Caenorhabditis elegans: one gene and its partner. The protein of the gene in region 1 purifies or fractionates together with the protein of each later gene. This does not show direct contact. Each region holds a gene or a part of one and is shown on either strand. Other genes may lie near its edges.

Evidence for each region.
Region 2: the proteins of fbxa-105 (region 1) and tpa-1 fractionate together in Caenorhabditis elegans (co-fractionation; one large-scale study listed by BioGRID). This does not show direct contact.

Annotation. Positions count from the first base shown.
Region 1 is NC_003283.11:7,384,107-7,399,895, forward strand, and holds fbxa-105 (F-box domain-containing protein), read right to left. Parts: upstream 7,924-15,789; 5' UTR 7,920-7,923; coding exon 7,837-7,919; intron 7,748-7,836; coding exon 7,667-7,747; intron 7,371-7,666; coding exon 6,716-7,370; intron 6,665-6,715; coding exon 6,467-6,664; 3' UTR 6,423-6,466; downstream 1-6,422. Other genes in the region: srp-6 (Serpin domain-containing protein), read right to left, coding at 202-366, 414-569, 620-942, 1,008-1,186, 1,233-1,511, 1,939-1,964; C02H6.3 (G_PROTEIN_RECEP_F1_2 domain-containing protein), read right to left, coding at 2,569-3,139, 3,385-3,749; C02H6.1 (N-acetylgalactosaminide beta-1,3-galactosyltransferase), read right to left, coding at 4,284-4,418, 4,755-5,012, 5,055-5,484, 5,536-5,601, 5,650-5,765; srx-9 (7TM GPCR serpentine receptor class x (Srx) domain-containing protein), read right to left, coding at 9,444-9,714, 10,135-10,341, 10,389-10,517, 10,990-11,102, 11,144-11,353; gst-41 (glutathione transferase), read right to left, coding at 14,410-14,810, 14,854-15,048, 15,146-15,182.
Region 2 is NC_003282.8:85,372-102,349, forward strand, and holds the start of tpa-1 (Protein kinase C-like 1), read left to right. Parts: upstream 1-6,608; 5' UTR 6,609-6,680; coding exon 6,681-6,706; intron 6,707-7,250; exon of another isoform or gene 7,251-7,280; intron 7,281-7,432; coding exon 7,433-7,539; intron 7,540-8,313; coding exon 8,314-8,459; intron 8,460-13,416; coding exon 13,417-13,519; intron 13,520-16,978. Other genes in the region: scl-23 (SCP domain-containing protein), read right to left, coding at 1,519-1,663, 2,023-2,138, 2,375-2,470, 2,661-2,825, 3,338-3,427, 3,477-3,577, 3,807-3,883, 4,444-4,646. UniProt on the Caenorhabditis elegans protein: Diacylglycerol (DAG)-dependent serine/threonine-protein kinase that phosphorylates a range of cellular proteins. Phosphorylates mlk-1, a component of the JNK pathway. Involved in axon regeneration after injury probably by activating the JNK pathway.

The DNA of each region.
Region 1 (15,789 bases):
TTCTGATTAAATTAGAATAGTAGACAATGGCCAATATCATAGCGTTAAGTCACAACAATAATTTTTAGTGTTCAATTCTTAAATTAAGTGATGACAATTATGTTGGCAAAATTTTCCCCATTGTAAAAAAAAAATTCAATTGATTTATTAATTGTGAACATTCTTTTTGAGTTCAAACAAATCACAGAATGAAACAATTAACTAGTTATGAATCCCAATAAACAATGGATGGTTATCTTTTGAGAGGATGAATAGGAATGGATGATCTGCAGTGAATTCGATTGGTTCTTCGGCCGGAATAAAAACTGATGTAAGTGAAAATGAAATGGTTGTTGCTGCAGCCGCAACAGTTCCGTCTTCATCGACCTGAAACAATACAATTTTAATTTGAAAGCAGACATATATGATCCTACTTCAATAAGTGCTTTGTGAGCTGCTTGTGAAATATAGATTCCATCTGCAAAGTTGCTCAGATCTGCGGAATCTGTGAAAGCTTTCTCAATTCCAACGGCCATTAAAGCTCGATTCAACCCAAGTGCAGTTTCGATTTTCCACTTTGGCATTGCAATCTGAAATGTTAGAAGTTTGCAAATTGGATTTAATGATTGTATAAACTCACATTGACCAACGTGTTAGAAGTATTTGACATTAATTGCTGGATAGTGACAGAGTCCAAGTTTTGAAGAGCTTCAGAGAGACCAAATCTAGTTTTTGGTAAGAAAATACTCAAAGCGAAACTGGTGTCTTTGTACGGAAGACTCAAAACTTGGAACTGGCCGTTTTCAGAGTACTTTCGATTTGAATTACGAGAATGAAGAAACTCAGTTTCTCTTTTGGAGTTTTCTGAACTGAAAAACTCTCGCTTGTACGTTGATTCCTTTTTAAATTTTGTCTGCCAGTTGGCTTTGAAGTAGAAAGCATTCGTCAGCACAGCAACAAGCTCTGAAAATGTATTTTCTCAAAGGGAAACACTGGAATTTAATGGACTGTATCGATGGCTTACATACCTTCACTAATACTGTCCGGGTTGATGATTTTTTTGATGTGACCTTTGGTATTTTCACTGACAAAATTGTTAATCGCTTCAGCAGATGCTTCTTGATCTTCAAAATTTAATTGAGAAGCTCCAGCATTGTATAACTTTTTAACATCGTTCAAATATAATTTCTTGATTGTAAAAGTTTTTCTGAAAAGCAAAAAGTTAAAAATTGTGTTTTAGGTATTCCAAAAACCTGGAGAAAATATGATTGGCCACATTTACTTCTGTCCCTTTCTCTGCAACCAGAAGCCCTGCAGAAATATTGGAAAAGTGTTGTTCCAGTTCCTCATCGGTTGCACCATTTAGCAATGCTTTTCTGATCTCATCACGAGTTTCCCCTTTAGCCGCCACGTGTACAAGAGAGAGTGCGAGGGCAATGGAGAGCGGAGAGAAAACAAAGGACTCGGTGAGGTTCTGCTGACGGAGTAGTGATAGTCCAAAATCTGTCTCCGAATGGAGAAGAAGACCCATTCTGAAAATTATAATACTTTTGAGAACAAGACCAAAAAAGCTAGATATAAAGTTCGTGAGACCATTTTTTGATCGAAATTCTCGAACATTGACATTGAGACATTGTTTGCGAACAAAACAACCACTGGTGCACAAACACTATCGATTTTAGAAGAATAAGTGTTGAAGTATTTTCGCCACGAAAATCTAGATTTTCAATTCCAGTTTTTTTATTTGAAAAAGATTGTTCTCAAAACTATGATACTACAATGAAACGTGCCGAAATAGATTTTTTTTCGGTCATAATAAAAAGCCAGTGACCTAGAAAAGTCGATGAATTCGTTAAACCTGATATTATTTGATCAATTTCCATTTGGATATTATAAATTTTACAATTTACTACGACACATAAATCAATAAAATTTTGAAGAAATGTATAGCTGACTCACTTCTCATCTGACGACGAATCCGACATTTTTTTCGAAATTGAAGAAAAGTGTTCACTTGCGAAAAATGAAAAGTGCGGTGGTTTCCAATGCCAAAATTGAAATGTTTGTTGTTAGTTACGCTCACAACCTGCACTCTCTCACAATTTATTAATATATCACGTTGCCAACAATTTCGTGGTATGAAAAAGAAAATTGAAGTGAAGTGGATGGACTATGAGACAACTTTCAAATATGGGAAAATTTAAAATAAAACAAATGAAAATTCAAATGATCAGGCAGGTGATTTCGCAATTTATTATGTATTCTGACATACACGTTTTCGTAGAAAACACATAAATCAATCTGCACATATTAAACAGACACTTCTAATACTGAAGAAATGAAGCTTGGGTCCAAACACAAATAGAACAAACGTTTAAATGTAATATGCATAAGTTTTTTTTTAACGTAACCTTCTTTTTCTTGATCAAATGTTCAACAAATTCATTTTTGAAATATACGCATTAATCTGAAAGTAGAACGACCTTTAAAGTTCTGAAACCAAATTAATATAGTTAAATTTATTTAAGAACAATAACACAATTTGAACAATTAATTTATTCCAATGAAAATATATAACGAATTTTCAATTTATTCGTTCTCTAAATTTTCTCCAACTACATCAGAATGATTTGCTGTATTATTATTTTTTCCTTCAATGTTACACTTGTGCTGTCCATTTCCATTTGTTTCAGACATTTGAACTTTTGTTTTCTTTCTTAGATCATCTAGTCGTATTAAAACTCCACAAAATACAAACAGATACGGCAGTATTAATTGATTAAATTGATAATTTTTAGCAAGCAACACTTCAGTTTTCAGATCTTTCATCATAATTGTAAGAAGCATTTCTTTTTTGAATAAATTAATTGATATCATATCAGCAATTAACCCATAAACTTTGATTACTATAAAGACCACAATTTCCAATATAACGATAGAGTCTTCATAGGTTAAGGTTTCATTCAAATATCGTAGTCGTACAAAAACAAAACATACTGTAAGAAACATCATTGATAAGTCGATAGGATTGATGACCAGACAGTTTGCAGGGTTCATGTTAGATATAAAATAGAATTGCTTGAAATTTGGCACGAGTTTGATGAGTATGAAATATTTTAAATTGGTGTATACTAAACTGATAAAGACCATGAAAACACGGCTGAAAAAAATGAAGATTATTGTTGAAGGTTTCACTCAAAAACTATTGAAAATATTTGCTATACGGAAGTTTGAAAAGCTATGTCATAAACATTTTTATTGTAAAAACAAAGTTTTCGATTTCCACCTATCAAAATACATAATGCAGAACTCAGACGCTAGGATATGACTTTTTAACAACTCTCGCTCTATTCTTATCATAAAATCATTTCCAGAATAGTTCTCCCAAGTGTTATTTTCACTTACAATTTTATGCTTTTGATGAAAAAACATAGGGTATGACTGAACAACAAAGGTAGAACAACATTATTTGCCATAGTAATGAAGTCTGTGCTCACGTAAAACATCAAACTATAGATATTGACTTTGCTTTCGCTTTCATAATTTTCTGTTCTCAAAAATTGTTTCAAAAGTAGATAAATAGCCGAGATAGTAATGGAACAGCATGACATAATTAATGGAACTTCAAAAATCGACAAGGAGCTTGTTAGCGTTTGTCTTTTTCGGAACCACATTAAAATGTATAAAAGTAAGACTAGAATTGACGTCATAATAAATATTTTATGATTGCAAATGTTAGACATAACTTTTTCTTGGATAAAATACTCCATGATTAAATTAATAAACACAACAAACGTGTTCTTCTAAAATTTCAGATTAAAAAAAGTAAAGATCAACAGCTGGAAAGCTGTTCACGCAAATGGGTTGGGCGGAGCTTTTGAATAAAAGGTTATGAAATAATATCAGCCTTTCTTGTTTGCTGAAAATTATTGGTTGCTTGAGAGAAAATCAGAGGAAAATGGCATTTCTTATTAGAAAAAACAAATGTGTAAGGAAAACTAGCTAAAAGCTTCTAAAATCAAGGTATGCAGTATACTCCATTCTTTATTAGAAGTTGATACCATACAACTGAGCATGTCTAAATCTCATTAGTGGGAACTTTTCTTTCGTGTTTTCATTTGGAAATACGAAAATATGAGTCATGCGAAACACGTGTCAGAAAACTGAAAAACTGAAAAAATTGTAAACTTCAGAGGGAAAAACATAGCCTTTTATTTCGAAAAAAAAATCTCATTACATTTACAAAAATGTTTCTAATTTATAAGTGAAGAAATGACTAGATAATTTCACAGTGGAAATAGAAATCAGAAAATATCGAAGAATTCTGGAGTGAATAAGCGCCTCTCTGAGCTTGGGTAGAGAATGCTGTCTAGAAATATCATTTTCCGAGGCGAAATTCGATGAAGTGAGATGAACTTTTCGGATACAAAAGAGCCATTCTGAAAAAAATCTTTACTTGTGTATTGAATTTATAATTTAATAAAATTTTCTCTCTTCCTACTGGCGCCCTCCACTCCCCCGCGAATCAATTTGTCGCTAATACACAGTTGAAAAGCTCATATATTTTTGTCTATTAGATTCTTAGATTATTTTAATTTTTTCTTTATGCGAATTTTGTTGGTTGTTTTGTTGGTAACAGTCGGGCGGAGGAAAAGGTGGTTGAGACCTTCATAAAATTCCTATTTCTTTGTCGGTAATAGAATGTCACTCATATTTGCTCAGAATATTCACAACAAACAAGATGTCAATATATGAAAATATTTGTTCCCTCTTACCTTTAACGGATAATAATGGTAGGCTTCAGGAATTCCGGGCATCTCACTTGGACGGAACGGTAGAAATCTACAGCTACCATCATTGTCCCTTGTATCAGAAGGCAAAATTCCCATTGAAGCCAAGCATCTCGCTATTCCTCGATCTTCGGCCCAATCATAAGGACATCGTTTCTCATCATGATAAAGATGTTCCACAAAGATCCGAACTGCAGCATTTGATAACAGGTATCCCGCACCACCTGAATTATATCCCCCTTCCTGAAAGAAATAATTTATTTTAATCCTACTAACATTTATTACCAGAAAAGGTTTCATTCTGTATCCCAGAAACAGTGGTTTCGAAGCATCGAGTGTATCTAGATACTCTTTAAGATGATCGATCATAAAATAATTATCATCATCTGCTTTCAAATACCAATCAAAATCTTTCGAAATGTAGGTATACGAGTAATAAAAACTGAGAAGAGTTTTTCTGAAGAGATCGTAGTAGGAATCTTCTAAGTTTCGATAAACTGTGGAAAACGGAATTTTTTCATCAACCAGGGGTGTTTTTAGAAAGAACCGTCCATTGTCACATCTAGGTAACCACGTAGACGCCATAGAAGGCACTCGATCATTGAAATACTTTTTGGAAGTCTCAACAAAGCAGAAAAGTTGGCCAGATGTTGGTAAATCGTATGTAGCTTCTGAATCTTCGATTCCTTGTGTCAATTTGTTTACGTTTCTTGTTCTGAAACTCATCTGGTTTTATTGAAACGGAGTGCAGAAAGAATCGACTCACAAGGAATAATATTCTCGATAAGGATGAATAATTGCAGGAAAATGTGTGTAGAGATCAGCAGGAATTCTGGAATAAAAACGATTTTTGAACATTTCAGAAAATGAAAATTCTTACAAAAAGTTTCGATATAACGGAAAAACTATCAAACTCAATGAAAAAGTTAATAAAAGTGTGTAAAGAGCAATGCGATCCATTTGGTCTGATTCAATTTTTCTCATGGAATATTTCATCTCTGAAACAAAAAGCTTAAGAAATGCATATATTTTAAAGCTTTTCAATGTTAATATAAAGCTCAAAGGACTCACTCAACTTCTGACCGACCACTTTGTTAATTTTTTTTTCAAAATTAGCTAAAATACTTAAAACCTGAATATCGGCTGTCCTTTTTGAAATAATGGGCGCGGCTATGGCATATCCTCAAAGGAGTGATGAATTGTGTTTTTTTACAGATTTGATGTTTAAAAAGTGTCACTTAATGTCTCGAAATAGGTTAAAGATAACCATCTAGACAATTTGAACAAAAAAACCATTTCGGGGATTTATTGGACTTTTAAAGTGTGTAAGTAAGCAAAGAAAGGAAGGCGTAAGAAGAAAAAAGGAATAATATATGTGGTTTGTCAAGAAAATTAACAATAACGATAAAACAATAAGTGTCATCCGGCAGCAATTTGAATCTGGCGGAAATCTGGCTGACTACTGGAGAGAAGACTGTTGTTTATTTGACGTTCATTTACTTGGAAACAAATTTTGGTGAGACCCTGGAAATCCTCAAACAGAAAAATTTACAAATTTACAAAAATTGACCTAAAGACCAGTTCCCAAAGACTACTGCAACTTCCTTTTTTGTGAGTATTCAAAAATTTCAGACCCCAGAACCTGTTTTCTTTCAAGAATAAAACTTTATTTCCGAGAACAAACAGTTTGTCAAAAATTAGCTCATCTTTTCAATTATCATGCGTTTCTGCGAAAAAATCAGTCTGAACATAGAGTTCGCTTCGAGAACATTGTAGTCAATGGAACCATTAATGCCACCAGTATATTGAGGATCAAAAACACTCGCGACTTCTGCAGGATTGTAAATGAAAATTTCGAAAGTTCCTGATACAAATTTAGATGGTTTCCTGAGGGCCTAAAACATAGTATTAAATATTTTTCAAAATATGTTTTAAATAAATATTACTTTTTTGACATTGCTGGCGTCCGTTTTCGAAAATTGCGTTAGCAACAGTTGGAAGTGTTCAAAATGAAATAAATTTTCCATCTCTTTTGGCAAAGTACAGTATCCAGTAATTTCAAGAGATTTTGCTTTATTCCACTGCTCCGATGTCGTCACGAGGTCGGTCAAATCATCTGTCACCTGATACGAATGCAGTCGAATATTTTCAAGAACTCCAGGTTGAAAATGTTGAAAAACTACTGGAAGTTCGGAGAAAAGATATCCAAGTAGATGAATATGTTTTACGGGAAGAGGCTTCATTGTCTGCAGTATGTTTTCGATATCTTGCAACGAATTTAAACGAGTCCGACCTCCAGACAGCAAGCATATGTAGAGTTCGTTTAGACGAAGTTTTGGTTTTGTAATTATTGCTCTCCAGTCATTAAGAATTATATCCGAATAATAATATTTTTCAATTGTCTTTTTCCGAAGTTCGTGTTTTTCTTCATCGAGAAGCTTCAGCTGACAGGACTTTCCCGTTTTTGAGCATATAATTTCATATTTGTCTACCATTAAACGAGCCCAATCGGCAGTGAAATCGATTCGAAGAAATGCTATACCAGGATTCATGTTGTTTACGAATTCTCGTAGCTTTCTTGAAACTTTTTGAAGTACAAGTCTGGAAGATTATTTCTTTGGTGATGTCTTTGGGTGTGATGTACGATTGTTCAATATTTAAAAAATTGAAACACGAAAAATTTTCAATAATTTCCTGTCATTTCTATTTATTTTTTTAATAGATTATAATCATTTACTTTTTTTCCTGTACTTCTTTTCCGATTTTTTCGGGTAATCCTTTTCAATTTTTGATTTTTTGAATTCAAAATGTTTCGATTATACACTACTAAGCAAGTTATTGTTTAAGAATTTTCAAAATAAGAAACTAGAAGGGCACATTGACTGTGAATAACTAACCGGTTTATTGGTTCCAACTTGTTCACTACTTCAGTCAGAATTTCAATTGGCATATTGGAAAACGTTGGCTCTTCTCGTGGGCTGAAATTAAAATATCAAACACAATGATTTCTAATTGAAAGGCAATCGAGAAAATTATAATTCACTTATTTTTTGAATTCCTCACTCACAATTTCACCGATGTCATCATATTGGTTATTTCAGCAGTTTCTTGCAAGCAACCACCCAAAGTATTTTCTTTTTTGTCCGTCATTTCTGGAATTGCAGAAAAAGGCAATTATTTTAATTTTAGACACAAAAAAACCAAACGAGAACAATGTGTGTCATGAAATTCAAACTGTTTCGAACTTTATCAGCTCGGTTGACGCCTCTCAATGTTAGTCAATACAGCACAATGATGACATCATTCAGATCAAAAGTTCATTCAAACGATGGAAATTCAAATAGAAATTTTTATAGTATTAATGGAAAATTTGTCAAACTCTGTGAAGACAAACAAACAATTTAGTCACAGTTCAACTCTCCACCACGGCCAAATTTTTTCCATCCAAAAAAAAAGGGAAAAGAAAAAAAAAAGGGCCGGAAAAAACAAACAAACAATTTAGTCACAGGCAACAAGATCAAATATTTTCGAACTATTGTAGTAAGAACACAAGGCTCCATACATTACTTTACAAAACTTTTGTGAGAACCATACTTGAATATGGTACCGAAGTAAGTAATCCGTTGAAAAAACAAGATATTAAAGCAATTGAATCCGTACAAAACTCGTTCACAAGGAAACTATACAGCAGGCAAAAGGGAAAATACATCAGAACAGATGACCCCGACTATAAGAGCGCTATTCAACGTAATGAACTATTTAACTTATCAACTTTAGAGGCTCGGCGTAAAGCTATTGATAAAGTTTTCTTGTCGAAAATGCTAGTGAACAAAGTTGATATTGACTCTGACCAATTTTTCAAAATAGACAAAAATAGTAAAACTCGTACCAAAACCAAGTTCATCTGGGGGAAATGCAAAACCAAACTACGAAGGCACTTTTTCACAAATAGAGTATTAAGTTCTATAAAAAATTAGCGCAATGAATCTTATTTTGGCACCTCATGTCCTATGCATGTTTAATACTTTTACGTCCACTACTTTCATGTTACCCATTATTCATCTCTCTGACACCCGCACATTCATGTACCAACTCTAAATATTGGATGCTTTTAATGCCCTTTGTAGACAAATCAATGGGAAAATTGTCAATTTCTGAAGGCAGTAATTCTCAAAATCTTCTGTTCTCTAAATATTGGGTGCTTTTCGATGCCCTTTGTAGACAAATCAGTGGGAAAATCATCAATTTCTGAAGGCAGTAATTCTCAAAATTTTCTGTTCTCTAAATATTGGGTGCTTTTCGATGCCCTTTGTAGACAAATCAGTGGGAAAATCATCAATTAAACAAACAAACAATTTAGTCACAGTTCAACTCTCCACCACGGACACATTTTTTTCCATCCAAAAAAAAAGGGAAAAGAAAAAAAAAGGGCCGGAAAAAACAAACAAACAATTTAGTCACAGTTAAACTCTCCACCACGGCCAAATTTTTTTCCATCCAAAAAAAAAGGGCAAAGAAATAAAAAAAAAAGGGCGGGAAAAAACAAAGCCTTGGACGTGGTTGATTGTTGCCACACTGTAAAGTTCCCGGCCCTTGAAATACGTAAAGCGATGTTTGTGTATTTATTAAAAGAAACTATTATTAGTATCATTAATATAAAGAGATTTGAATTATTCAAATTAAATTGACCGGAGTAACTTGACTGTTTCCAGTTGCCTTCTTACATCCCAGTTTGTCGATAAACCATGAACATTGGAACGAGCATTTTACTTCCTTGTTAATAGAAAGAAAAATTACAGAATTTGATGAGCAGTTAAGTATAATCATTGCTGGTATGATTGCGTGTGGTTGAAACTTTTTGTCAGGAATTATATACTGCAGTATTTCAAATATAACCCAAGTGGTGATATAGAAAACTGAAGTGAACATAAATTGGAGAAGGTACCTGAAAAAAGTTAATCCAGCACTTGCCAATCTTGCCGTTTGGAACCGGTTGTCTAAGCTGAGATAAACTAAACGTATCAGTTTTTGCTTGCCGTTTAAATGTTATTCCCTTTTGTAAACTTATTTCCCCCACTTGATGCCCCAAACTATATTGGTTCATACGCTCTTTTTTTTTAATTTAGTGGTTGTCTTGTTGGGATTTTATTAATCGATGTTTCCAAAAAGTCAGTCTGAACATTTATCAGTGAATTTCGTTGTTTGGATTGCCACATAATTTTTCGTAGAATTGAGTCGTTTATTTGAACAATTTTTTTAAAGGAGAAGTATCAATAAATACACTTTCAATAATTAACAGGAAAACATTTTAGAATTTTCAAAATTTTCCAGACAAAGATTTGGTAAATGTTCATTCCGTGCTTACCGAATCTCTTGTTTTCTTCTTTGCTTTTGAATTTGGGTAGACACTTTCTTGTTTGAATTCCGAATTGATATGAACACCCCAATGTAGCAAAATATTGAAATAGACGTACAAATACTATCGTATACAAGGAACATGGAATTTGTATATGAGTGCACCCCATTTATTGTTACTAGCTCCAAAGCCATGACTGTGTAATCGATTACAAATCTAAAACTGTTTTGTTTTTATTGCAGACTGGAACGCAACAAACTTACACGCAGCATGGAAACAAGTATTGTGCGCAAGCAGCAGAAAACAAAGCAGCTGAGATAAGAACAGTCATCATGAGCATCGTTTTATTGAATGTGAAGATGTTGTGATTGTTAAATGTTATCACGAGAAATCTTGAACCAGAAAATTAACGCTAGAGCAGCGCAAGCGGGGTTAAAAAACGAAAGAATTGGTTAAAAAACGAAAGAATTTTTTCACTCGGTCTTCTTAATTTGTTTTTCCTCCCCCACTCATTTGTTTAATATATTGATTTTTGTCTAATATTGTGTTTGAAATTTGAATAGTTGAAAATGAAAACAAATAAATAAATTTAAAAGTGTCAAATCTCACAGTCAAACATTCAAAAAATATGTGCGATAGAAAAAAATTCACATGTAACTTTATAGTTGACATCTTGGGTTTTCAGAATCTGTAACTTTTTTTGGGCAAAACACCTCTGTAAGCCTGAAAATTTTTTATTGAAAATTTAGTGCTGAATGCATAAATCTGAATCCAACTCACAGGGGTGTTTTGCCGGAACAAATTACAGATTCTGAAAGCACAAGATGTAAACTTTAAAATAACATGCAAAAAGTGAAAACTAACCGATTTATAGCCATCGTTGGTTGAAGTAGGTTTTCCATAAACCAGCCAGAGAGAAATATGAACCCAAAAAAGACGCTCAATCTTCCAACTTTGTCTCCTGCTATCGCATATTGCTGAATAAAAAAGACGTTTACAAATTTAATAATAAACTTACATCGATAATTATTGAAAGTGAAAAGTAGAAGCAGAGATAAAATAGTTGCAACAAATCAGAAATGATGTTGAAAAATGCAATAACGTATATTGAACTTTTTCTCGAAATGAATGCGAGTTTAAACACTGAAATAAATATTGAGACGCTTGAGAATATTGAAAAAATAGAAGATGAAAATAATACAACTCCAACAAGCTTTTTCACAAACATTATTTGTGAATGATTATGGCACTGAATGTATCTCAATTTGAATCTCACATTGTTTATGCGGATATAGAATCCAATTTACTGATTTCCTCTATGTCTAGTCGTTAATAGTTACGCAATAATTACCTATATGTACATTAAACATATTTTTCCGGGAAACATATGGCAATATTAGATAAATACTGTAAATTCTTGCCATTAGCCAATCCAAATGGGGATTTCAAGAAAATGACCCACTTGTCATGAACTTTCACATTTGAATTTTTTACCCACGATTAGATTTACAAAATATTTGCGACCTTAAAAACTTTTCATACAATTTTTTATTTTGTTTAAGAATAATTATGAATTCTGGTGAGGTCATATCGAGTTTACCACATCGGGCAATCATTAAATTGAATTGTATCATATATTCCATTTGGAAAGGTTGTTTCCTAAAAAAAGAATACTAATTAAATTGAGATTACAATATCTGTGCGAACTTCTGTTTTTCATTCTAAACCTGAGATTCGTTTTTCCGTTCAAAACTTATTTTCGAAGAATAGGAAAAATAAATTTTCCTGTGATATTTCTGATTTGATTTGAGATGCTAGTTTGGTTCCGTGAACAAAGGTTTAGTCATTCAGCCAATGCTATATTAATTTATAGATTTATAACGATATATTACATATAAGCATTCTGTGAACAGCAAAACAACGAACACATTTATAAGCGGTATACTGTGAGTTTGCGCGGTTTTTTAATATTAACAATTTTGACATACATATATAATTCAAGTACATCATTGTTAGGCACGGAGTTTCAGAATCTGAAGTTTTGTTTCGAAATCTATCTAATGGGGTTATTCAAGTAGTGTCGTGAAATTAAAAAGTGTATTTCAATACACTTTTTGTCTTATTCAAGTAACTTCAAAAACATTTCAATACAGTTTGTGACGTAATTTCGTGACATTTCTCGACATTTCTCGACACATTTTCCACAGTGGTTTTATCAGAATTGTTCTCCTGCGACGGCAAATTGTGTAGATTTTCACCCTGCGGTACACCTTTCTCTGTGTTTTTCATTCAGTTGTCCGCTTTTGTCGCATAATGTCGAGAAATGTCGCGAAATTACTTCACAAACTGTATTGAAATACATGTTTTTCATGTTACTTGAATAAGGCAAAAAGTGTACTGAAATACACTTTTTAATTTCACGACACTACTTGAATAACCCCATAAAACAATACAGTTTCAAAATAAACGTTGTCCATTTCCTTTTTCTTCATTTTTTTTTGTTTTTTTCGTGTCGATTTTTTTAAAAGTTTTTATGTACTGAACAACCACAACTAAAATGCATAACCTTTCAGTGAATAAACGTTTGCTCCAAATTTTAATAAAAGTTTTGACTTTTGATTATGAACCAGTGTGTTAATTTTTTTGGAAAACGTGCTGACTTAACTTGAAAACAAAGTGGGATATAAAGAAGACATGTATTTTTTTGGTGTATTCATTACAGTTACAGCAATTGGTCGCGCATTTATAACAATATTCTTTTGCACAAAATTACTGCTAGACATATTTTGGTAGCCACTGCCCATATCAACATTTTTCCATCATTTAAAAATCTATTTTCAGGTTTAAAAAACTCAAGAAATCACATGATTTGACCCTTTTCTATTTTCGATTTTTGTTGGACATAGTATTCAGTACTATAAGTATGTGCAAAGCTTTTATTAAAAAATCATCGAAACTCTTTCAGTTATATTTTTTCTTGGTTCAATTTTGATTACTATGGCCAAATTCCAAGAGCTCTCCCATATTGTAGAAATTTCAATGTTTTTCATATTCTGGGCAAGATATATAACAGGATCTACTAGATCCATTCTGGCTCTTTTAATTGCAACTGATAGAACATGGGTTAGTTGTAAAGGATATTTACTCCGGAGTTCCCAGTAGTAACAGGTTCATTTTGGAGTGGCGCTCTCTCTTTTAGGTCTCAGTAGATCTCGCCAATCCAAAATGAAGCCGCGATTCCAAAATGAACCTATTACTACTGTTCCCCATGTCACTTGTTTTCAGTTTTTTTTTTGTATTTTTTGAAACGAAAATCTGCATTAGAAAAGTATAAATTATTCTTTCAGGCCGCGTATTTCCCTGTTTGGTTTTTCAATTATCGAAATTATATTTGAAGCAAGTTCATCATTATCATCGTCTTCATATATCCTTTCATAGATGGATCAGTGCTATTTATCTATTGTCAAAATGCCATAGAAATTTCTCCGGGATGCAAAAATGCAGCATGTGTTATGTCTGATTGTTACTTGCTTTATTGGCTGGCTTACGAAAAAGTTATTAAAGTTTTTCATGACAAGAAAAAACGAAATTATTGCAGATTGTGTACACTATAATCATCGTTTTGTCGTTGTTATTGTCTTTAAAATTATACGTCTGGAACAGGTATAAAAACGTGACAATCAGCTGGGAGATTAAAAGAGTATGTTCTTAAGCTTATGAAATTGCATAAAAAAATAAGTATTTTCAGGTAAATCGTCTTGCCTTAATTGACACATGCACAAATCTAATATTTGGATTGATACCGCCATTTCTTGTAACATATACTCGCAGCACGTTTGATCATGCAGGGCCCTTAAATACGTCACTAAAGATTTTGGGATATTCTTTAGAGTCTTATCTGGTTTCTGTGAATTTAAGAAAAAATAGAATTACAAATAACGCGCAACAGAGTGGAATGTTTGCTGATTCCAATTAGTTTGTGCAAGGCTCGAAATTGATTCTTTTTAAATCTTAAATAAAGTTTTTGAATCTCAAAAATTCGACTATCGGCGGTTTGTAGATTTTTTCAATCAACTGTTTGAAAAATTTCAATGGTAATTGTTAGGACTATTTTTGGATTATGTAGTTGAAAATTTCATAAGAAAACTCCAATGGCGTATGAAATTGTTCAAAATTATTCTTTATTTTCTCACTATCAGAAAATTTGAGCTCAGAAAGCTTGTCAAAAAGTATCGAGACCCATTTTTTGGGAATTTAATCACAGAAAGGAAAAAAAAAACATTATCAATTCATTCCCTTTTCAACGGCACTGATCCAAACATTGTCTTTGGTTCGTTTCTCGAGATAAGGCTTCAAGTTTGGTCTTTGCCACATCCGCTCCCAAAATGCCTTCAAAGCTGGAAACTTGTCCAAAATCTTTCCATCCAAAACGTGATAGATATCTAATTCTTCAAAGAGTATATAGTCGGTGTAACTAAGTTTGTTGCCAATAATAAAGTCTCCGGGGTGAATTTCAAATTGGCATTCCAATCTTTCCAAAGATTCTGGAAGGGTCTTGTTGACCATGTCTTCACGACTTCCCTCGTCAAAATAAACGTAACGAATATATTTCAAACGAACATCACGAATCGCATCAAAAAGCATATCTAGAAAAGTCGCTTCTTGTTCATTGGATCCGTTCAGCTCTGCAAATCTATTTTAACAGTTGCACACAACAAATAAACCAACTATGAACTCTTCCCAGGTGTCGCATAATTGCTCCAGCTTGCACAATTTCTTGCCCATCAACTTTATAACATGGAACTTGCCCGAACTTCATTGTTTTCTTAAGCTCTGCCCATTCGTTGCTTTGCCATGGGAAGCGAATATCTTCAAATTTGATACCATTATCAATTAGTAGAAGACGGATGTACTCCCCATATCCTGAAATAATTATCATAAATATTCCAAGCAAAAAAACAACGGCTGTCTGATTGGCTTCAAGACAACTCACGACTAAAATAATAAAATAAAAACTTACCGCGGATTGAAAAATAGTATAGTTTTGGCACTGTCATTGCCTTCTCTTAATGTTTTCTCGATCATTGCATGGGCTTTTATACGGTTTTTCTGATTGTAATTGTTTGGCCATGCGAATTTAGTTAACTTTCGCAGATTAAAAGAACGGAAACAAGTTTGGCCTGTCAAAATAAACACTCAAAGTAAATTTCAAATTTGATGTAAACAATTAGTGCAGTGGTGCGATGAAAAAACTAATGAGTTTTTGGAGATCCAAGTTCTTGTAGATTGTTCTGTTTGAGTAAATAAGTTGTTTGTGCGAACTTTTTAATGATTAACTGAAGTTTATTGCCGTTAAAAGTCCAAATACATTGAAAGTTGTGTAAATCTGAAAAAACGACCGAATTATCACAAAAAAAAGTTAAATTTTCATGTAAATTCTTTTAAGTTCTATCCGGTTAAAAACTTTTTGTGAAATGAAAATAGATGTTATGCTAAACTCTTTGTATCAAAATAAAAAGGTGACAAAAACACCGTATCTGTAACTGATTTTTCAAAAAAATTTATTTAGTTCAAACTCGAAAAAAAAACCAATTCTGATGCTACGAGATCTAATATTGCATGTTGAAAATTAAATTAAACATTATTGAGAAATTACATGTGAAT
Region 2 (16,978 bases), on another chromosome or scaffold:
CTACGTGACCACAATTATAGAAAACTAGGCCATCAATTGTTTTTTTTTCATCGGCCACCTCCCCCTCCCTTTGCCAGGCTAGTACACATCGCATGTTCATCTCATCTCCCAACCAGGGCTGGGACTTTTTCGAAATTCCATTTTCGAAAACGAAAACGAAAATTTTCGTTTTAAAACACGAAAACGAAAACGAAAACGAAAATGGCACAAACTGTACTTACGGTTTTTAGACCATATGTTGCCTCAAAAGCTTTTTTGTTGGCAAATACTTATTTAATTCTCTCTCATTGACTTACTTTGCTCATTAACTCACTTTTTCAAAAAAGATGCATATGTAAATAATATGATAGCACGTTTCTTTGTTCAGAGCTCCAAAGAATGTTGGGCTGGCTTACCGAAAGTATTGAATTTGGCTAGAAATTTATTCAAGCAGGAAATACAACTTTTTTCTGCAATATCTAATAGTAAGAAATTTTTGATGATACTTGAAAATTTTTGTTTTTTTTTGTTTTGAAAACAATTTCCGATGTCGAAATTTTTTCAAACTTTTTATTCGAAAACTTTTCACAAATTACCATATATTCTTTATTAGTGCTGCATCTCCAGTAGTACTGCAGTCTCTAATAGTGCTGGATTCGAAAAGCGCCTGGAAATTAGTGTTACATGCAGCACTGATAGAGAATATACGGTAATCAGATATTAGTCAAAAAGTGCATAATTAGTTATTTCTTCAATTAAAATGTTCAAAACACGATTTCAGATTAAAAATTGAGCTACAGTAGAATCCTTATTTTCGAAAAAGGCATTAAGTTCTACATCCTATATATAACTCAGCGGAAAAAAGTATGTTTTAATGACCAATTAACAAATCGTTTGAACAAGGAAACGTCCTGTCATAAAATGAATGAATCTATTTTGACGTAAAAGAGTCGTTTAATTTTTATCCAAAACTGAGAACTGTTGCATTTTTTGTTCTTAAAGTTGATCTTCAGTAATAAGTTTGAGGAGAAAATAATTGATTTTTCAATACTATCCACACCGGAGAGCAAAATTTCGGCGATAGTTCCAAAAAAAAAAAAGAGAAAAAACCAAGTTTAAATAAAGTCGTTCTATTTTCGTTTTTCGAACACTTTCGAAAACGAAAACGAAAAAATTCGTTTTCGTCAAAACCCCGAAAATAACGAAAAAACGAAAACGCGAAAACGAAAAAGTCCCAGCCCTGCTCCCAACACCTATAATTTTGCAAAAATCGCAGGGTGCTCTTCTCACACCCATATACATCCATAAAACATAGGCCTCAGAATTGGCTCTTAAGAGCAATTCACGGCAAAAAGAAGGCTCCTTAAATCGCAGTCAATCAGAGCAGTTCGGAATGCATCTGAATTATTTGTTTTTTTTTTGCGTTTTTCTGTCCCTTGCTCCGTGCCTCCCTACTCTGACTACTACAAAATTGCTGTCAATTTCTGGATTTTCCGTCTCTTGAGAACTGCTTTATAATTCTCTCTTCACACCCTCAGTTCACTTTTCCTTAGACCCTTCTTGCCACGTGGCAGCCACACAAAGTCCGGTTGACGGATCCCCAAAGGTTCCTTCGGAGCAGGCACTTGCAACGTCACCAACTGAGTAGATTGAGGTTGGTGTGGAGGATTTGAACACGTTTCCACTGAAAATTTAGAATTTTTTGAGGAGGCAAGGGATTTAAATACTACTTGTCAAATGACACAATTCAGACTAAATAAATATTTTCAAATATCTTTTTTCAAGGAAAATATGCCTCGAAACGGGAACTTTTTTTCAGGTTTTTAAAGAAATTTGTTGCTGAAATTATTTTTAATTTTTCAATTTTCTACCTAGCAGTTGATCAAATAATATCGATTTTTCAAATGGAAAACACAGTTTTTGACATCAAGCTGGATAAATATTCAACTAACAATTTGGAAATAAAATTGCCGAAAAAAATTTGAAAAAAATGTTTTACATATTTTTTTTCCCGTTTTTCTTTCGAATTTTCAAAATTCTCACGTGGGATAGTATTTGCAGACAGCCACATTGTATTTCTGTCCGTCGAGTGAGCCATCTTGTCGAGCCGGGCACTCTTGTACCGCGCATCCCAGTTTTCGTGTCTCTTTCCATAGGATCTGAACACTTTTGAGTTCAGTCTTGCTAGGAAAGTCTTTATTTCAGTTTTATGAGAGTCGTAATATTTGGATATTTCGAATTTTTGAAAAATTCAACAAAAATACAAAATTAAACAAAAATTCAAAATTTTCAAACTCCCATAACTACTTCAATTTTCAATTTCTATTTTCAAGTTTTTCAGTTGATATTAGGCTTAAAATGTAGGAAAACATCTAAATTCATGTATTGATTTTACCTGTGTCGCGTGTCCAATCCGACTATCGTACCGTGAAAGCTTCAAGTTCTTGATCCCCGCAATTGCAATCTCATCACCCATTCTCTGGATTCCTTTCTGGAAAATTAAATAGGACTTTCGGAATTTTTTTTGGGATTCCTCCAGAATAGAATCCCAATTTTTCTGAACATTCCTAGCTTCTCAATAATTGAAAATTTGCTGAAAGATACGGAATTTTTCGAAAATTCGAAAAAAAATTGACACTTATTTTTGCTTATTTTAGAGAGAAAGTGTTTCAACTACTCACCAAAACGGCCCCCGAAACGTCCAATCCATCGGTGGTCCGGAAATAGAAGGCATTTTCGCCGCGAACCTCGTCCCATCCATTCATTTGTCGACCCGAATTCTCCTTTTGCAAATTACATTGTTGAGCACGTTGTTGAGCCTCCAATTCGAGTTCACAATCCCAATCCTACAAGAAAGAATTTATTTTTTTCGAATTTCTTTCTTGATGAGTAGTTTTTTTCCAAAAATTGGCGATTCTATTTTACAATTTTGAACCGGGATAGTTTTTGTATTGTGCCCGACACCTTTTTGGATAGCGCCCGGCACATTTCGGGTTGCGCCCGACACTTTCTAAGTTCCGCGCATCATTCTCCGACACTTTCTGTGTTCCGAACCGCACTCCTCGACCCATTTTAGACAGCGACCGAAACAATCAAGGACCCGCCCCGCTGTCTCCGACAATTCTTGCGTTATGACCGACATTTTTTCGGTTGTGCCTGGCATTTTTGAGTAGCGACCGACACTTTTCGGGTTCCACGCATCTCTCCACGACACTTTTTATGTAGCGCCCGACATTTTTTTAGTTCCGCTCGGCACTTTTAATGTAGCGCCCGACATTTTTTGGGTAGGGCCCGACAATTTTCGGGTTCCGCTACTCCTCGGTAACCTCAACAACCCCATAGAGTTGCCAAAACTCACCAATTTAACCATATTATCCGCCGGAGGAAGATAATCATCATCAACAGCATACTGTCCCAAAGCCACTTGCGAGCGAATTTCATTGTGTTTCTGGAAAAGATTGTAGTCAATTAATAATATTAAATTCCACAACAAATACATCAAGTATCAAATTCTGGAGTCTCGCAGGCAAATTGAGTCGGCAGTACGCGGGTGCCATTTTCGTGATGACCGAGAATCGAGACGGACGGGGTGTGCTCGCTGCAAATGGCATTTTTGTGTGTGCAATTTAGAATGTGGTTCTTGTTTTAAGGTTTTTGAATTGGGTTTTGGAGCGAAAATGCTAAAAATTCAAAAAATTCGGTTTTTTTTCAAATGTTGGTTTTTGGCTCAAAATTTTTTTTAATTGATAGTAATTTGACTATTTAATTTTCTTTTAAAATGTTCAAATTCCCGCAAAAGATGTTTGACCAATTTTTGCAAAATTTACCTGCTAAAATATTGTATGATAGGGTGATTACAGTAACCGCAATGAAAACTCCTTTCAGTCGCATTTGCCACGTGTCTCTGAAATGTTTAATTTTAGTAAAGTCGGCAGGCACGTAGGTAAGCAAATAGGTAAGCAAGTAGGCATGTAGGCAAAAGTAGACACCAAAGCAGGCGTAGGAAGTTGTTTGGTTTTTTTTTCGCTCTCCCTGCTCTCACTTCATTTTGCCGTACCAGCCAAGTAGGCAAGCGGATAGGAATAATGGTACACACGTAGGTAGGCACATAGGTAGGCGTATATTAAGCACGACAAACGTTGGATTTTTGTAGGTAAGCGCGTAGGCCTGGTAGGCATATAAGCAGGCACATAGGTAGGCATGTAGGTATGTAGGTAGGCCCATGAATAAGCCTGGTCCACACTCCATTTTTTTCGACTTTCGGTCATTTTTGAAACCAGCGGGCTGGCACAAAAAATTTTCGACCAAAATAAAAACGCCTGTTTAATTGAATTTAGGACCTAAACCTGACGGAAATGTACGGAAAATCGTGTAATTTCAATTCAAAACCTAAGGTTTTTAGTTGTTTTCCCTTCAAACTTTTGTAAAAACTTGGCCCCCCCCCCCCCTCCCCCTTTTCCTTACCTTACAGAACCAGTTCCAGCGTCGACCTTTCCCTTGTCTAGGTCTTCAACGAATCTTTGTCCCCCATCATTTGTCCCTTCCCGATTACCAACTGTTCCTTTTCTTCTTGTTGTCGCCGTTTCTCCGCCGATCACCGCCGCTATTTGCATACGTTCGTCAATTTCTTGTCCGTCGGCAGTCTCCATTTCTCTTCGGGTATCCATTATCGATAAACTTTCCCACACTTGATAAATATCCTCGTATTGCTCTTTTTGTAGAACACTTGGAAATTGAGCAAATTTCGAAATAAATTAAAATTGTTGTTTTGAAAGCTGTGGATTTTTTTTTGGAAATTTGAGGGAGGGGGGGGGGGGCAGCGTGATGCCCTTTATCAGTAAATTTTTATCACCTTTTTCTTTTTTTGTTGTCAATTTGCCTCCCAAGACGTCGGTGACTAATAGTCGATGATATGATTTCATTGTCTGGCTGGATATTTTTGTCTGAAATTTTAGTTTTATGCCAATTTAAAAAGTATTACCTGAACTTTTATATATTTTTGAAATTTTCTGATTTTGCGCGGTTAGATTTCCAGTATACAAAATTTTGAAAAAAAAAACCAAGAGATTCTAAAAAACCAATCGTAAACTAATTGTAAATTTTTTTAAATTTTCCCTAAAATAGGCTCCGCCAACTTCTTGGTTCCTTCACAAATTTTTCTAGTTTTTATCGGGATTTTTTTCGTTCTTGTATGCCGTGCTCAATGTTTTGTATTTATTGCTCTAAACTTCAGTATTGAAATTGCAAAGTGAGTATTTTTCCTTGTTTCTACTCTACATTTCGGCTCCTCCGAGCCCAATTCGATTGAGCCCATTTAATTATAGACTCGCCTTTCAAACTACTTATCTGCCTACCTTGAAATTGGAACCTCCTATTTTCTTATTTGTACCTACGTGGTTTCAGGAAGAGCTTAAACATTTTTTTTTTGAAATTTTGAGCAGGATTTTTTTTTGGAAAAAAAAATAGGAACAAAACTAACCTGCAATTTTTTTTTGCTGAAAAAGAAAAAATTTTTTAAAACTTCAAAACATAAATTTATTCCAGTTTCCAGAATTTTATTTTAAAAAGTTTTGAAAAAAAATTCCGTTTTGTCATCGTAAAATTATGGAAGAAATTGAATAACAAATTATTTTAGAAATGATTCAAAAAATGATCTAAAAACTTTAAAAACTTTAGCTAAAATTTTTTCAGAACTTTTCAGAATTATTATTTTAAAATTTTTCACACAGATTAATCCTGTATTTTTCGAAATTTATCACTACTATCAAAAAGTTTCCAATTGCCAAAATATTAAAAATGTTGTGATGACTATGTTCTTAGTTGACAGTTTTCTAATAAGACCAGTGGTTTTTGAGTTATGCACTAATAAGTTGTAAAAAAAAATTTAAAAAAATTAGTAGACTTTTTCCTCTACACTCTATTCTTTGAAAGATTAAAACCTCATCTAGACCTAGACCTCATTTTGTCAATCAAATTCCAAATTTTTCATCAATTCCCAATTCAAGTGTTTTATTCAAGGGTGCGGGGGTCCCCTTATACATTTCCAAAATCCGGGCGGCCTTTTCTCGCCCAACTTTTGACATGACCCGAATCCGCCCTCCCCTCCCTCTACCAGAGCCGAAATTTGAAGATAATACATTTAACGAGTCGCTTTCTCTTTTTTTCGTTTTTTTTTGCATTTTTTCACCCCTGACATGACGTTTCTTCTCCAGCCACAACTGCACATTGCTCTTTTTATTTTTTTGCAGAAGAGATTTAGAAAGCTAAATATGATAATTGCAAGATTTTCGCATTGTAAATAATAATTTAAATGTTTAATAAGCTTTAGAAAAATACAATTTTGAACCAATAAATGGGCGGAGCCTAGATTTAATTTTTTTTAATTTATTAATTAAACTATGGTGCCTTGTAATTTTTTGAAGTCATGAATATAAAAAAAAAATTATTTAAAAAATTAAAAAAACATCTGATTCTTTTTAAAAAATCACCCAACAATTGGGCGGAGCCTATTTTCGGCTTCTACGCAGTTTCCAAAAAATTTTTAATACTTTTTTTTCAAATTAATCTATGTATGATATAACTAGTACCAGTCTATTTTTGAGTTTACTCCTTTTATTATTTTTTTTAATTTTCAGGCTATCGACATCTTCTCTTTGGATCCGCCGCCGGAGAGCGAGACATCACTGGAAGCGGACTTCGTGATGGCACAGGCTGAGAATGCGTGTCGGTGAGTAATTGAAAATTATCACATGGATAATTATGCAAATTTTGAGTTTGAAACAAAACAATTTCACCCAAATTTTGATTCTCCGCTAGAGATGTTTTTGAAAAATTGAAAAATTTTGAGATTCTTGCCAAAGTTCTCAAAAAATTCAAATTAGAATTTTCCTCGCCAAAACTTTTTGAAATAGTAAAAATTATGATTTCCAGCCACATAATTCTGATATATGGACGAATATAATTTTGGGCCATTTTTTTTGCAAAAAATTAAATTAAAGAATACTCAACTTTGTAATGTCTTATAAAAATTTCTGAAAAAGTAAAATTTGAATTTTGTTTTTTTAAATCAAATTTGCTTTTCCGCCAAAAATTTATTAACAATTTTATAGTAAAATTTAAAATCTAAATTTAATAAATTTTCAAGTTTAAAAAATTCCACAACAAAAATTCTTAAAATTAAAGTTTAATTTTCCTTCCGGAATTCCCTAAATTAAAGTCAACATGTGACGTCACAGGCTATAAACTACAAACTTTGGACAAAAAAATTTCAGTGAAAAAACCCCCACAGAATCTTTGCAGCAGTAAGTGCCTTCCCCCTTTGTCTCTCTGCTCAGCCCAGCTAAAACCAAAAAAAATCACAAATTTTCTCCTCTCTCGGTCCTTTTGTCCTCTGAAAAAGTGCACACCACATCAGGGAAGCCTTCCAAAAAAACATTTTTCCATTTTTTTGCAGGCTGAAGCTTCTTCGAGCGGACGTTCCAGTTGACTTACTTCCGGCCGGATGTTCAGCAACTGATTTGCAGCCGGCTGTTAATGTGAAGGAGAAGATTGAAGTGAATGGTGAGTTATTAGCTTTTTTTGAAAAAGAAAAAAATTTCGAAAAATCTAAGTTCAAGGGGAACCTCTACCTAAAAAACAATTTTTATAACAATTAAAATATTTTTTTAAAAATTCGATTCGTGTGAATTTTAAAATAATTGTAGAAAAGCTACTGAAAAAACTGAATAGTCAAGAAGTGGGAGGGGCCTGTTTAATATCAAAGTTGAAAAGTTGAAAGAGACTCCGCCCATTTCTTGGTTTTTTTACAGATTTTTTAATGCATAAAATTTTTAATATCAATTAATAAGATTTTTTTAATTGACATTAATTGTTCTCAGTTGATATAATTTTTGCAAAAAAAGAGAGAAATCAATAAAATCATTTACTATATATAAAGTAGAGTTTTCTTCCGTCTAATGTAGGCTATGCCAACACGCAAAACTCACGTTAGTTTGAAAGTTTTCGTAAAATTTAAAATTTCATTTCAAAAAAAAATCAAATTCATTTAAATTCAAACCAAAAAAGTAATTCCGAGGGATATTCGAACTTTAGTTTGAGTCAGTCGGAGGAGGTCGAGCCGTAGGCTCGAACGACACCGGCTGGTACTATAAATAATTTAAGTTCAATATTAAAACAAAAAATGATTTGCGAAACATTTTTTCAATTAAAAAAATCAGAAGTTTTTTTTTAATTTTAGGAAATATAGTTTTAATAATTTTCAAACCCCAAGTGTTTTTTTTTTCAGAATTCAATGTGTACAAATAAATTTTTATTCAATTATTTATCATTTTCCAGGTGAATCCCGACTAGTCCAAAAGAAGAAGACCCTTTACCCGGAATGGGAAAAATGTTGGGATACCGCAGTTGCCGAGGGCCGAATTCTACAAATTGTGCTCATGTTTAATCAGACACCTGTGGTCGAAGCAACTATGCGATTAGAGGTTAGTTTTTTTTTTTTTTTTTTTGAATATTTTTAATTGAAAAATAAAAATAATTCAGTTTTTTTTTTCAAAAATTTCCAATTTTTTTATTAATAGTTTTTAGAAATTTTGCTGAAAAAAAGTGTCAGAAAAACCAAAAGTGACTAACTATATCCCACCCAAAGATTGGGCCGAGTCTCAAAAACCCAAAAAAAAAACTCAAATTTTCTGAAAACCTCTGAAAAAACCTCTCATGGCAATATCTTTTTTGGAAACACGGGATGAAAACAATTCCCAAAAAGTTCTACTCACGAATAGGTGTACCTTAAAATATTCCGCTTACAAAATGGCTCACCAATATGACGTAAAAAAGTGGATGAGCACATTTTGCCACGTGGCAATTGTCGTAGCTTTGTATGAGAAGTTGGCCCCATGGGACCACATCTTAGAAGATCACAGTGGCTCTTGGCTCTTAACGGAGCAAAATCTGCTGCTGGTGCTCTTGGCCATTTATTCGGCTTCACCACATTTTATGAGAGACCAACGACGAATTATTACCCTTTCCTTTTCGACTTTTATGGCGGTGTTGAGATTTTTGATTTTTGAAAGTTTAGGCGGAATTTTTTTTTTGTTTGAAAAATCACCAACGGAAACTATGACGCTTGTAGATTTCTTGTTGGGCTATGAACTTTTTTTATTTTCATTGCTAAAATTCAAAAAAAAACGAGAAAATTACAGAAAAAAGTAAAAACCCGCCAAAAAAAGCCAAGAAAGGGGCAGTGCCTAAACAAATTTGAAAAATGTTTACTGGTTTAGTTTCTTTTTGTTTTTGAGTTTTGAAAATCATTCCAACTATGCATATGCAGTTTGAAGAAGAATTTTATTTAAAGAAGAAATTCAAAATTTCAAAATAAGCTCCGCTCATTTCTTGGCTATTTTTAAAGTATAAAAGTTTTAATTTTTATTTAAAAAGGTATTTCCTTACTTTCAAAAAAATTAGTTGAAAAATTAAAATTTGCAAAAAAAATTTTTTTGAGAAATTTGGTTTGATTTTACCAAGTACATTGGAAATTCCTTTAAAAACACTGAAAAATATAGAAAAAAAGTAGTTTTTTTTTAATTCAGCAAATTTCTAGTTTTTTTTTCGAATTTAAAAACTTTTCCCGCCATTTTTGGCACTGTGTCAATTGAAATTAAAAAATTTTTTTCGACTGTAAACTCGAAATAATTTGAAGTTTGAATTGCAAATTATTCTTTGAATTTTCTAGAAAATCCTATCAAAATTTAAAAAAAATATATATTCAAATTTTTAAAATTCCCCAAACTTCTCTAACACCAACTAAATTGTTCTAATTACAGCTACTATATCGCCCATTTGGTAATAAAAAATTCCAAATTATCCCATGTGAGCCCCCTACTTCAGGAGCAAAGAGGCGTGGTCTAAATTTCGGCTCCTAAACTCCATTGCCTCCTAGATTTCTGGTTTTCTTTTCGAAGCTCGGTCGGTTGAGCAAATTTTGAAAAAATTGCTTTAAAAAAATGACCGAAGTTCTGAACGATATTTATGAGGCTATTAGTCTTCTAATTAAGGTAAGAAATTCGGATTGTTTGCCACGCACATTTTGTGGGCGGAGCTTATCACAGCTTTTGATTTTCAAAATGGTTTTCTGGCAGCATTAAGAAAATTTCAGAGTGGTCAGAAGTTAAAAAATTTTTTGTAAGTTCTATAGAACGGTTTAGAAAATTCCAAAAAAAAAAAATTAAAGATAGTTTTTAAAAAATTTCAAAATGTATAAGACCGGTTTAGAAAATTTCCAGAATTTTTCAAAAATTCCTAGAATTAAAAAAAATTATCTGAAAATTTGTGAAAATTCCAAAACATTCCCGAATTTTACATAATTATAATAATATAATTTTCAGAAAAGAGAAAATTCTCGTGATTTCTACATATAATTTTTTCAATGATTTTTCAGAAACTGAATAGAAAGCTGGAGAAAAATTCAAATCTTCTGTAAATTCTTACACTTGTGAATTTTTTCCTTTGTGAAAATTTTAAACCTTGAGTCCTGTTTTTTTTATTAACAGATAGTACCCAATAACTTAGTTTTACTTTGCCATTTTTCAAAAAGTATCCCAAAATCGCAGAGATTATACTAAAGTTTGTAAAAAAACGTTTTAACCCAAAAAAAAAACATATTTTCCGTACATTCTATTTCTGGGAATATTTTTGAGGAAGCCTTTTTCAATTTTTATGAATACCTTCTAGACGATGTAAAGTTATAAAAGTTTCTGAAATTTGGAATTTCAGAAAAATTCCAATTTTTAAAACCTTTTTTTTTCATTCGCCGAATAGCTTTTTATCTACTTCACTTGTAATCTTTCTCCAAAAAAGTGCAAACAAGCATCTTTATTCCCATGGGACCTTCTCCCCAACTCCGGAAGCTCCTCTTTTTCAACTTTTTCACCCCATTCACTCCTTTTTTAAGGATATTTTTATGCTTCTCTATTTAGAAAAAAAACAACATATAAAAAAGTTGGTCCTGAAAAAACGACAAATTGGCCAAGAGAAGTTCGAAAAACACAAAGACGGGGGCGGCGATTTTCATAAACCTGCGGAGCCGATTCGCCTCGGGCGGTGCCCTCTCCCCTCGTTTTCATTTTATTTTTTCCATATTTTTCTTGCTCAGTTTTGGAGCAGCTTCACTTCAACCCATAACGTTCGTAGTATTAGCCTACCTCAAAGTGACGTCATCACATTTTTTCGAGCTAACAATTTTTGGAAAAAAATTTAAAAAATTTTCAAACATTTCTAAAATGATTTTTACAGTTCCAGAAAATTTGAGAATACTTTAGAACTTGTTGGAAAGTTTCAGAATGCTCCAGAAAAATTCAGAATAAATTCGCATAATTTTCAAAAAAATACTCTAAATGTTTTTTTCGAGCTTTGAAATTTTGGAATTTTGTATAAAAACCTATCAAAAAAACAATATTGGAATTAGCTAAATTCTGTGATTTATGTTTTTAAGCAAAAAAAAATTGGTGGCCGAATTATTTTATTTCCGCGGCCATGTACATAAAGTCTATTTCCCTCCACTCCTGTGACGTCATGACAAGGTCCGCCGGAAGACAATAGTTACCAGAGGGACGAAGCACACCTCTTTGGTAGTTTTTCACAGCTTTTTCCCATTTAGAAACTTTTTTGGAAACTAGACTTTTTTTTTTTGAAAACTGAAATTTTTGGACACTTTATTTGTATTTTTAAATTTCCCAATTTTCCCCCGATCCTCTAAAAATTTCAGTGATCTGTTTTGACTTGGTTTTCTACAAAAAAATTTGATATCTCTCATCTTATCACTAAATTATCATCTATCACGCAATGTTTTTTGTGATACCTGGTGTTTGACTGAAAACATAAATTTTTAGGAACAAATTTGAGTGTTTAGAAAACTTTTTTTTCGAAACTTTTCGCATTTTACGCTGTGAAAAAATTTCAAATTCAGAATTCTGTGATTTTGGTAACTTCCAAGTTTTAATAAGATTTTTCAAATTTTTTCATAATTTTTCAAACTAATATAATTGTGAAAATCATCAATAATTCCAACTAAAATTTACAACAATTCTAAAATCGATTTTTTTAAAAATTCTATATTAGAATCTAAAAAATTTCATTTTAAGAAAGTTTTCGTAAATTTAAAATAAACATAATTAAAATAAATTTCATTCAAATTTTTCCCAATTTCTAGTTTGAAAAAAAAATTTAATTTTCAAATTTAAATATCGCTTCTAGATTTTTTCGGTAAATTTCAATTTTTCAACAAAAATTTTCGCTTTTAATAAACTTTTGTACATCAAAATTTCAATTTAAAGTCTTGTAAAATATCATATCTATAGAAAAATTTCTCAAATTCTATTCAAGTTTCAAAAATCCTCCTGACAGCTCAAACTTTGACCCAAATTTCCAAAAAAAAAATTCCATACACAAATTTTTGTCCCTTTTTTCTCTCATAAATTGGGTAACAACCACGGGCGGAGAATAGGAGAAGAGCTCTGAGGACGAGGATGGAGACGGGCGGTTAAAATTGAATTTCGGTTCGAAAAACATACTCGCCTTCGCCATTTTTCCAACAACCCCCGTTTTTCTTTTTTGTGTGTATTTGTGGGCGTGTAACTGACTGCCTGCCTTTTCAAATCACGGAATATAACCACCTCCGGATTTTTTTTTGGGATTTTTCTTAAACTTCTAGGCTTCGGGCTTATATCTCACAATCAGTTAGTACGAGTTTTTGAAAAAAAATTGCCAAATGGTAATGTGTCTATTGGATGTTTCTTTATATTTTTACAAATTGCTACATGAACCAATGTATGAGCTATCAACGAATAGAAATTTAAAACATGGTGCATCGACAAATTTTGAAAACTCCTTTTCTTGGTTAATTTTATGGTTATTCAAAAATGGCCAACTGACAAAATATTCATTAAATTAGTTTTCATATTTTTGTAATTGACGGTTTTTAGATCTGTAAAATAACCCGAAATAAAGCCTTGCGAAAAGCAAGAGCTGTGAGATATGGTGCAGGAGTATGGTGCAGCAATTCGACAAATTATTCGAATTTGCCGCAAACCCTGCAAATTGGTTTTTTTTTTTAATTTTATGTAGACCGACCTCAGCAAGTTATTCAAAAATTTGTGCTCCTAGAAATATCAGAAATTTTCTAATTTTTCGGAGTTTTCTCAGAACGGCAAATCTGCCGATTTTGCCATTTTGCTTTTTGCAAAATGTTTATTAGATGTTATTCTATATATTTTTTTTCACTAAACGTGTACTGATATCTTAAAAGCCAACCAACATATTCAACTTTTCTCTAGAGCGTCTCATTTTTCTTTAGAACTCTAGAAAAAATTAAAGAATATCCTAAATTTATCAAATTTTTTGCAGTATTTCCCTAATTTCTCCATCCTAAAACTAATAACTTTCCAGGATATAATCTCAAAATGCAAAAGCGACGCGATCACTCACATTTGGATCAATACTAAACCAAACGGACGGATTCTTGCGCAGACAAGACATTTGAAGAATGCACGTGAGTTGGAGTTTTACGGGGAACGAGCGGATACCTGTGAAATTTATTCCAAAAAAAATGGAAAAAACGTTCTCACGGCTATAGAGTGTCGCTAGAAAAAGTGGGGGAACAAATAGAAATAGAGATGCCTGATTTGCATTGGAATCACTTTTTCTTGTCGGAGGGTGTCTTGGGAAGTTTCAATGGTTTTTTTTCCAATTTTTGTATCATCATTGTTTTAATATGTGTTACTATGTAAAAATTCGCAATTAAATTTAGAAAAAAAAATTAAAGAAAACATAGGAAGTTTTATGAAAACTCATAATAGCGGGGTCTGTATAACACTTTTTTTTACTTTATAAAATTATATATAGAATTTACTCTTGGCAATACAAATGTTTTATCTGGTAGAGAACAATTTAAGATTTTGCAATAATGAATTTGTAAAAATCATAAAACCTCCGGATAGGCTCCGCCCACTTCTTGGCAGTTTTTTTTAAATGGTTTTTCAATTTTTTTTTGTAATTTTAACTTTAACAATGGTTTTTGTTCAACTTTTTTGTCAACTGACAGTTTCATTCATAAAATGTTTCTCATATATTTTTGAAATAGGATCCGCCTACTTCTTGGCTATTTTTTGCGCTTTTGGAATTATATTTTGTCAAAAAAAGTGCTTGTAAAGTTGGTGGCCAAGTTTTTTTTAGCGGTCACGTTTCCGAAAAAAAATTAACCGTCACAAAAATGTATCCTTCAGAATTGATCATTTTGGGCAAATTTCAGAAAACTCGGCCACCAACTTTTTTTCGCGGCCATGTTGCAAAACTCGCACAATTGCCTTGTGGCCGTAAAAATAAAACTTAGCCACCAAATTTTTTTCCGCGGCCACTTTGCCAAAGTCAACACCAATACCATGATAATTGTTTGACACAAATCAGAGTACTCTCTGATCAATTTTTATCACTTCTCCTTGAACTTTCTTCAGCGAATACACACCTTTCTCATTTTTCTGCTGCTGCTGTGATATCTTAACGTCATTGTGTTGTGATCCCCCGTTTAAAGAGCACTATGCAAAAAAGAAGACGTTTTGCATTTCCTCCTTGCCAGAGATTTTCCATTTTTGCGAATTTTTTGGTTTAACGTCACTTTGAATCTGGATCCTTTTAGGCATGATACTTCCGTTCGGACTTTGGGGTGACAGGGCCGTGGCCGAGGTTCTCATTTTTGCAGAGGAACACCTGCCCAAAGTGCTTTTTTAGCTATATCTCGGCCACCGTTAAAGTTTTGTAAAACTATTTATCTAACAATTTATTGGAAATTTTGTGGTGAGCATTTCGTTAGAGATAGGTGTTCGATAATAGTATGGTAGGTGAAGTGAGTTTTTAAAAAATCTTTAAATTTTTAAACTGCCATAACTCCGCAACCGCAATAGTTATAAAAAATTGAATACTAACAAAAAATAGAAATTTTTATGTACATTATTTTGTTATTCACCAGTTTTTTGATAACATTATATTCCGCGGAGTTGCGGGTATTTTAAGCCAAGAGAGGTCTTTCATTTGAAAGTTCTTTTATCTCAGTGGGCAAACTAGCTATCAGAAAGTTACCAACTAACAAATAGTTTAAAATATTGTTATAAGTATTTTCATAATTATCACTTTTTCTGGCAATCCTATTAGTTTTCAAGTTATTGATCTGTAACTCGGCAAAAATGGCCCTCAAAAGTGCCAATCTAAGTAACTCTTTGAACTTTCGAGCTTGTGCTCTTTTTCTTCATTTCCACGTAGACTAGAACACTTTTCTTATACAACCCCAAAAGCAAACATTGAAAGTTCGGCTCTTTTTTAATTTAAAGCCTCTACTCTCCCAGCTCCAAAAGCTCCGCGAGCCTTCAGAAATCCAATAAACTGTAGGTGGTAGTGGTCCCATTGACCTTTAACTTTTAAAAGAAAGGAAAAAAAGAAGAAGCTAGGAAATTTTTTCCCTCTCTCTGCAAAAACTCGGAGAGGAAAAGAGGTAAGCCGCCCGGTCACAAGTATGCAAATCTCGATGCGCTTCTTTTTTTTCCAACTTTTCCTCTTTTTTGTTGGATTCCGAGGCATTTCCCACTGCCAATCTGTCGTTTCTAATTTGCATTTTTTCCTTACTTTCCAACATTTTTTCGCCCCACTTTTTTTGCCACTTTTGGTCCCACACCGCTAATTGATTGAAGGTAGGTGACGTGGTAGGCGTTGCCACGTGGGTTTAAGGGTCTTGAAACGAGAACAAGTTACTTGACAAATTAGTAAACATATATGAAAGAGGTAAACCAGTTTAGAAGTGTTTAGAACAATAAAGTTAGTAGAGATAATTTTTTTGAAGAAAACAATTTTTTTTTGGATTTTTTTTTTAATTTTCAAATAAAAAAAACTATTTTATTTTTTTACAAACACATTTTAAATTTACATAAATATTGACATAGTATATGCAACGTATTTTATTTTTTATCTTCGAATGGAAAAACATTACAACTTAAAAAAAAATCAAACAAAAAATTTTAATTTGTGAAAAAAAAATTTCAAAATTTTTACTTCTAAATTTACACGATTATTAAACTTGTAGCGATTGTTTATCCTTGTCCAGATTTTTTTAATAATGTTTTATACTTATATTAAAACACAAAAAAAGTTGATATACTTCGTGTATCAAGTTTTAACTGTGAAGCTCCGAAAGTAAGCTTACTAATCTAAATTTTAGAGAAAAAATAAATTTTTTTAATTTGGAACTTTTTTAAATCTCTCATAGTTTATTTAGAACCGTTTGTCCAATTCTTTATGAAAAAAATTGTGAATTCTCAAAAAAAAACTTCAGTATTCAAAATATAAGTTTAACATTCGGTAGACCTTGAAAACATTTTTAAAAATTGGAACAAAACGTTCAAAAATATAATTTTTTGAATTTATGTAAAGTTGTATTTTTTCAGAATAAAAACTCATTCGTTGTAAATGTATCTAAAAATAATTTTTTTGTTAAAAAATCTTTTTTTTCAAAGAATTCAAATGACGTCAGAATTTTGTACCGAAAATAAACAATTTGATGAACTGAAAAACATCAAAATTCAATAAAAGTGTTGTTTTTAGAAAAGTACTGAACTAAAAGATTTATTTTGTCCAAAAAATTCCAATTACCAAATTCTAATCGATATCCGTTTTCATCATGCTGTGGTGGCAAGTGAGATATGATCTTTGGCATTGACCCTGTTATACACTAAATTGTAGTCAATATTATCGTTTTATCACCAAAAAAAAGAATGCGTATTTGAAAACATATTTTTATTTTGTTAACAGTTCAAAAAACAATATTAAAACATTTTTGTTCTCAATTTTTTTGAAAATTATAGCTCCAAAGTATTGAATTTTTCTGCAAAAAGTTTCAAAGCTCTAGGTCTACTGAGAGCCGAGAAAATATCACTTAAAATTTGTAAACAAAACTATTTTTCCGGTA